2 linked regions of the Danio rerio genome follow. Each later gene encodes a partner of the first gene's protein in a complex. Links are inferred from orthologs where the notes say so. Each region holds a gene or a part of one and is shown in the gene's direction. Other genes may lie near its edges.

The links.
Region 2: the proteins of galr1a (region 1) and gal are in contact, whole or in part, in a cryo-EM structure (PDB 7WQ3), measured with the Homo sapiens proteins. The link is inferred for Danio rerio from reciprocal best matches to the Homo sapiens genes GALR1 and GAL. Residues at the interface, in NP_001471.2 of Homo sapiens: Glu32, Gln92, Thr94, Val95, Tyr96, Leu98, Pro99, Thr100, His112, Gln174, Phe177, Arg180, Gln184, Phe186, Cys187, Trp188, Glu189, Gln190, Ile266, His267, Ala270, Phe275, Leu277, Ser281, Phe282, Arg285; in NP_057057.2 of Homo sapiens: Gly33, Trp34, Leu36, Asn37, Ser38, Gly40, Tyr41, Leu42, Leu43, Gly44, Pro45, Val48.

The regions. Positions count from the first base shown.
Region 1 is NC_133194.1:24,322,240-24,326,543, forward strand, and holds the start of galr1a (galanin receptor type 1), read left to right. Parts: upstream 1-1,246; 5' UTR 1,247-1,921; coding exon 1,922-2,581; intron 2,582-3,748; coding exon 3,749-3,814; intron 3,815-4,304. UniProt on the Homo sapiens protein: Receptor for the hormone galanin. The activity of this receptor is mediated by G proteins that inhibit adenylate cyclase activity.
Region 2 is NC_133200.1:11,373,038-11,376,159, reverse strand, and holds the end of gal (galanin peptides preproprotein), read left to right. Parts: intron 1-156; coding exon 157-243; intron 244-410; coding exon 411-482; intron 483-2,068; coding exon 2,069-2,130; 3' UTR 2,131-2,315; downstream 2,316-3,122. UniProt on the Homo sapiens protein: Endocrine hormone of the central and peripheral nervous systems that binds and activates the G protein-coupled receptors GALR1, GALR2, and GALR3.

The DNA.
Region 1 (4,304 bases):
CTCTTAATTCTGTATGGACAGCTTTCCCACTGTTACTAGTTTGTCCAGTTAGCTCACCATGTACGTTGGCTTACTTGAGATACAGAGAGGAGTTGACCAAGATGACAGGGTTTGAGTCCAGTGAAGAATGGTTCCAGAAAGCAGATAAGACAAAAACAGAATCCAAAATTAAATAAACAAGTAAATATCAGGGTGAGAATGTGGTAAAATCTGAAAATGTGTTAATAAGATGAGGATTTTCTTTGTCTGGACTGCTTTTTAAAACTGTTGGTTGAGTTTAGGGAAGTGGGTGGGCGGGTCAATCTTTGCTTTTGAAAACACTTAGTCAGTCAGTCAGTCAGTCAGTCAGTCAGTCGACAGCAGCCTCTGGTAGATTTGTGAAAACAAAAACTGCAAAAAAAAAATAAATAAATAAATAAAAAAATTTACATTATGGGACACATTTGCCGCTCTCCAGAAATGTATATAGAGGTATGTTTTCAGAATGAGCCTGGATTGCAAATCTATAAAGTGATTTGAGTGTTCATATAAGTGATTTATAAATGTAATGAATTATAAATTATTATTAATATTAAGCCAATACTCTAAATCAGGTAAGTATGACATGCAAAATGTCCAAGTGGACCGGATTAAGAACAACTAGTTATCCTGTCACTGCAGATCTACATGAATCAAAGTAAAGTATTGTTTAAATGTCAACTCTGTGTATTACGTGCGTTAATAATAATAATAATAATAATAATAATAATAATAATAATAATAATAATAATAATAAACGTCCAAAGTTCATCTTTAGTTTCTGGGAAATACGCACTGTCAAGCTATTTAAACGTACTTTTTCCTTTCGGAATTTTAAATGAGAACACACTGCTTAATTATTTATACAGTTTATACATAAAAACATAATAAAATAGTGCACAAGCACCCTCTCCATGGGAGTGGGTAGAGCTAAATATCCATTTTGGGGCATATGTTTCACTAAACACATAAGACAGAATTTTCTACTAGTCATTCTAGACAGATTCTAGATGTTTACATTTACTTTAATTATACATTTTTAAAATGATTTTATACAAACAAATGCCTTTTAGAAAATATTAATAGTAAACAAGACCTCTTTTGATCACTACTATACATTTAGTGTGCTTTATTACAAACTTTTGTGATTCATTAAAATAATTTGTGTGATTCACAAAACAAATAATTTATATACAAAAATTAAACATGCTTTTAAATCATCATCACTACCGCATTTTTGTTTTATTTTTTTTTATGAAAAACATTTGGTTGAACATGTTTATATATATATATATATATATATATATATATATATATATATACAAATTAGTGCCAACAATATTGTAATTCTAAATAACTAAACTTGACCCCTTCTGACCTGTAAATGCATAATACTCAAAAGGGGTCTAATGGAAAGTAATAAGTGATAAACAAAAGGAGAGGGGCCGCTAAAAATGAAAGATGTGCTTTTCCCATGTCCATGTAAGAGGATGGGTGAGTAAGGCTGGGGAATTGGTGTCTCGGTGACGTGCGCACAGGCAATATTTTATTGCAGAGGCAGAACAGTTCTTCTCCACCTAGCGCGCGCTCAAAACGCACGAAGAGCACCTGCTGATGAAAACATGAATCTGTGAGCGCTGTCAGTACGAGAAATCAAAAGGATTATCGATATCATCATAAACTTTAACAGGTTAACATGAAAAAAGTATGAAAAGAATATTAATTTTGTGATGCGCGTAAATGAGCACATTCTACTTAAACCCCGTTGCTGATGCTGCTGCTGCTGGACTCCAGTAAACTTTACAGGATTTTCAGCCTCCTCTGAAAAATCAATAACCCAAGGAAATTAACTGCAGAAGACTTCCTTTTCACGACGAAGCATCAAAATAAGCTCACGCTGAAGATGGGCACCCAAAACAACAGTGATTTGGACAGACCTAGAAGCAACATAGACTTAGAAGCACCTGAAAAAAACCTATTTGGCATCGGCACAGACAACTTAGTCACGCTTCTGATTTTCGGACTCATATTTACTCTTGGCGTCCTTGGAAACTCTCTGGTGATCACCGTTCTGGCTCAACGCAAACCCGGACAGCAACGAAGCACCACCAACATCTTCATCCTCAACCTCAGCGTGGCAGATCTGTCCTACCTGCTCTTCTGCATCCCTTTTCAGTCCACAGTCTACATGTTGCCCACATGGATCTTGGGCGCCTTTATTTGCAAGTTCATCCATTACTTTTTCACCGTGTCCATGCTCGTAAGCATCTTCACCTTATCAGCCATGTCGGTGGACAGGTACATCGCCATAGTGCATTGCAGAAAGTCTTCGTCCATTCGAGTTGCGAGGCATGCGCTGATCGGGGTGCTGGTCATATGGGTGCTCTCTTTCGCCATGGCCACTCCGGTCGCCTACTATCAGGGCATCGTGGAAAGTGAGGACAACAGCACGTTTTGCTGGGAAGTGTGGCCAGATCACGACAGGAGAAAAATCTATGTGGTCTGCACTTTTGTTTTTGGATATGTGCTGCCGCTGATTCTGATTTCTTTCTGTTATGCCAAGGTTGGTGGATTGCCTTTAATTGTAGCTCGATAATGTAAAGTTTTGATCCTTATTCATGCAAAATATGGATAGTTTATAGTCTATTAAACAAGTCACTGGAAAAAAAAAGATGCTTAAGTAGGCTAATTGAGAAGCAGGAATCCTTTTTTGCCGAGCTCCTAAAAATAATCTTTGTACTTGTTTACATATTTACATTATATTTTATAGGATTTTCTTTCGATAAAAGTTTCAAGAATCTGTTAAGTTATGTTTTATGTTCATTTTATTCCACTGTTTTATTTGACCTGAACAAAATGTCTTCTAGGTCCTGTTTATTTGATGCCTTTATCACATAGCAACAAAATGTAATCCTGCATTAATATTTTAACTCATATGAATATGTATTATTAAAAATAAATTAATAATAATAATAACAATAATAATAATAATAATAATAGAGTTTCCCAGCTTGCAGCTGAAAGGAATTTGCTGTGTAAAACCTTTTTCTAGATAAGTTGGGGTTAATTCCACTGTGGCGACCCCTGATGAATAAAGGGACTAAGCCAAAGAAAAATAAATTAATAAAAAAAAAATAATAATAATAATAATAATAATAATAATAATAATCATAATCATCATAATAATACAATTATAGTTTAAACTATTTTGATCTATTGTTATTTAAAAAAACAAAATCACTTTTTTATGTACACTTTTAACATTTTATATGAAAAATGCAATACTTTTTCTTAAACGAGAGGGAGAGAGAGAGAGAGAGGGAGAGAGATAGAATTGTGTGCAAATAATTGTAGGCTAGCAGTATCTACCTTATTTTTAACATAAGAGTGGGCGTATCCATTTTGTATACAAGACTTCTGGTGTCACTCCTTTCATTTATGTTAACACAAAGCAGCTCATTTTATTGCCTGATATTGCAAAAAAAATATATATATGCCTTTTTACAATATTATAATATATTGTCATAAACGCAAATTGATTTCTAGTATGAAGAGTTTTACAATTTATTACACCTTTATTTTTTTATTGCAGCCCTAATAAACCAGAAGTCTCACACACATTTTACAGAAAATAGTTCATTTCTGCATCACAAATTATAATGTGAATATTAAGAAACCTTTGCCCCATTTCATTTTTATTTCAAACCATTATGTGCCTATTTGTTCTCAGGTCCTCAATCATTTACATAAAAAGTTAAGAAACGTCTCCAAAAAGTCAGAGGCCTCAAAAAAGAAGGTAAGAAAAGTTAAATGTATTTGTTTCAGATATGTTTAATTACAAATTTATTTTGTTATATATTTATATACAGCTGGGAAAATAAGCATTGAACAAACTTTAGTGATTTAGTCAACATTTTTCTCAGAAATCATATCTCTAAAGCTGCTGTTGACTTAAATTGTTCCCTGGATAATGGTAACAAGCAAATAAATCCATACATGCAAAGAAAACAAACCTATTTAGTTGACAAATTAAGTTATGCGTAATAAAATTAAATGAAAAAGTATTGAATGCATGAAGAAAGGGAGAAGTAGAATGGAAGTAAAAGCCCTGACAGCAGCAGAAATCCCTCAGTAGTTTTTCAGCAACCCTCTGCCCTTCAATCCAACATCTACATTACCAGGATGATGAAGATGAAACCAGAGTGGACATTTCATTGTTACAAAATGTAAATAATTTATCAGATTTTTTTATTTTGTTTTATTTTTATGTTTATATTATTTGGGTT
Region 2 (3,122 bases), on another chromosome or scaffold:
CATAATGTGGCATTAGCACCATATGTGTGCCACGGGGAGGTCTAAATGAATATGAATATGAGCGGCGGGGCTGCAGGGTCTGCTGGTGAATATTGGAGTGCCTCTTCAAATGATCATTGGGATTGTGTGTGTGTGTGGTTGTGCTTTTATGATCAGATGCCATTGATAGTCACAGGAGCCTCAGCGACAAACACGGACTGGCAGGAAAGAGAGAAATGCCTTTAGATGAGGATTTCAAGACAGGTAAGACACATGTGGCGCCGGCGGGGCTCATTACTGACATTGTTAATAATGCTGTTTTAGGCTTTGGGAGTGGATTGAAATATTCATTAATTGTTAATGTACAGATGCACAGATGTTGAAATGGAAATAATAAACGATAATGAGTTGTTTGTTTATGTTTTTTTAAGGAGCTCTGAGGATAGCAGATGAGGATGTCGTCCATACCATCATTGACTTTCTTTCGTATCTCAAATTAAAAGGTAAGCGGGGATAAATAAGTTACATAACAAATAAATTAATATAAAAAAACTATACACAGAACACCCCTCACAAATCTCTATTTTAAATTCATATTAGTGATAGGAAGCTATACAATATTATATTTGTGCATATACATGAGATTAGTCAGTACTGAAGCCAAATCTGGAGCTTATAACTCCAAATAACAAAAATAACTTTCCATAACGGTCCACATACTAGTACAACCAAATTTATGTTAAACAGAAATATTAAATACAATTTTTTAAAAAGAGTCAAAATTAAGAGAAGCTTAAAATTGTAAAAATTTAGTTGAAATCTTGAAGGTTGTATTTTTTAAAAAATATTTTGCTTGAATTTAATTGTATAATCTTTACATTTCTAAATATGTTTGGTAACAAAAATATTATTTTAATAAAAATATCTGTTTAATAAATCTGTTTTGTTTAAATGGACCAAAATACAATACCTATGTTGACTGGGAAATGGATAAAAATATTCATTCTCAAAATGGGGTGTACTCATTTATGCTAAGTGCTATATATATATATATGAATTTACATATTATTTAATTTATTATAGATATAATTTTATAAATATTTTTTATTAATTTAATTTAGAATTATATATAGTATATTTATTATATGTATTATAGTATATTAAAATGCAAGAAATCAGTAAAAGAAGACATTTCAAATATATTTTGTATGTAAAAAGTTTCAAATATTTTTTTTCACAAAAATCTAAAAAGCAACTAAATATTAAAATAATTAATTAATAAAAATTTATAAAAAATAGTAAAATATATTACCAACATTGAAAATAAAACATTTTTCTAAATAAATCATATTAATATAATTAGAAAATATTTCTTAATAATCATTAATATAATAAAAAATATATATTTGAATTATTTTTTTAATAAATTACTTTGAAATTATTTTAAATAGTCATAATATTTATATTGGATTTCGTAAGACAAAAACAGTACAAAAAAAAACTTACTTGCAAAAAAAACAACAACAACAACAACAAAAAACCCTCTTTCTGACCCGGTACATAATGCATGATGATATTTTTATAATATATTCTGAGACAAACATTTATGAAAATCATCTGCTGTGTGACTAATTCATTTCGTTGAATATATTCAATTTCCACTCTTATCTCGTATTAAAAAACTTTAAAAAAAAAACGTTTACTAGAAATTATCCAATTTACTCCAATATTAATAAACAGACCTCATCATAAAATCATAAACCTCTCTAGTTCTAAAAAGTAGAAAAATCCACTGTTCACCCAATATATAGCTAAAGTCAAAATTAGTAGCCCTCCTGATGTTTAAAAAAAATCTAAACTGCTTTAATCTAGCCGAAATAAAATAAATAAGACTTTCTCCAGAAGAAATATACTATAGGAAATACTGTGAAAATTCCTTGCTCTGCTAAACATCATTTGGGAAATAATTGTAAAAGAAAAAAATAAATAAATCACTAGAAAGTGAATCATTTTGACTTCAACTGCATCTTGACTGAGGAAGTGAATTGTTCTTATTGTCCCCATTTGTACTTTTTTCTTCATCCTGCAGAAATTGGGGCTCTGGACAGCCTGCCGTCCTCTCTCACATCAGAAGAGATCAGTCAACCCTAAATTTGACCGAAGTGAGCACTCGCACACCCTGACCTCCTCCACTGTGTCACGCTGAACTCTTTCTCTCTCAGAGGCTGTTCATTCACACTCATAACACGCTAAACCTTCAATATGGCCACGTATTCACAATCACTCGACGGCTGATGTGGAGATGGATTCAAAAATAAAACTCATAAATGGCATTCCACTCAGCTTATCCTCTGTCTGATCTTTTAGTTTTCAATATCTTTAATCATCAGTCTAAAATGTTGATATTTTGAAAAAAAAAAAAAAAGTCATTTATTTGATCAAAAATACTGTAACATGATAAAACGAAGAAATATTCACTTTCTTTTCGACTTAGTCCCTTTATTAATTAATGGTCACCACAGCGGAATGAACCGCCAACTTATCCACCATATGTTTTACGCTGTGGATGCCTTTCCAGCTGCAACCCGGTACTGGGAAACATCCATACACACTCATACACTACAGACAATTCAGCTTACCTAATTCACCTATAGCGCATGTCTTTGGACTTGTGGGGGAAACCAGACTCCAGAGCACCCGGAGGAAACCCACACCAACACGGGGAGAACATGCAAACTCCACACAGAAACACCAACCGACCAAGTCAAGGCTCGAACCAGTGACCTTCTTGCTGTGAGGCGACAGCGCATAAAAACCTTCTGGATAAGTTGGCGGTTCATTCCGCTGTGGCGACCCCGGATTAATAAAGGGATTAAGCCGACAAGAAAATGAATAAATAAATGAACACAAAGTGATGTTTTATAAACAAATTTCAGAAGGAGCATGATCAGTCTTTGACGAGGCCAAGTCATCACACACACAATCATTCTATTATCCAATCCGCTCAAGAGCAAACCCCTATAGTCAAACATGTCATACCTCCGTTTTCTCTCGAATTCAGCATCCCTCCACCACCCCAACCCCACACTATTAAACCAGATACCTATTTAAATCTGAGGGGGGAGCTTTCTGGATCCGGGCTA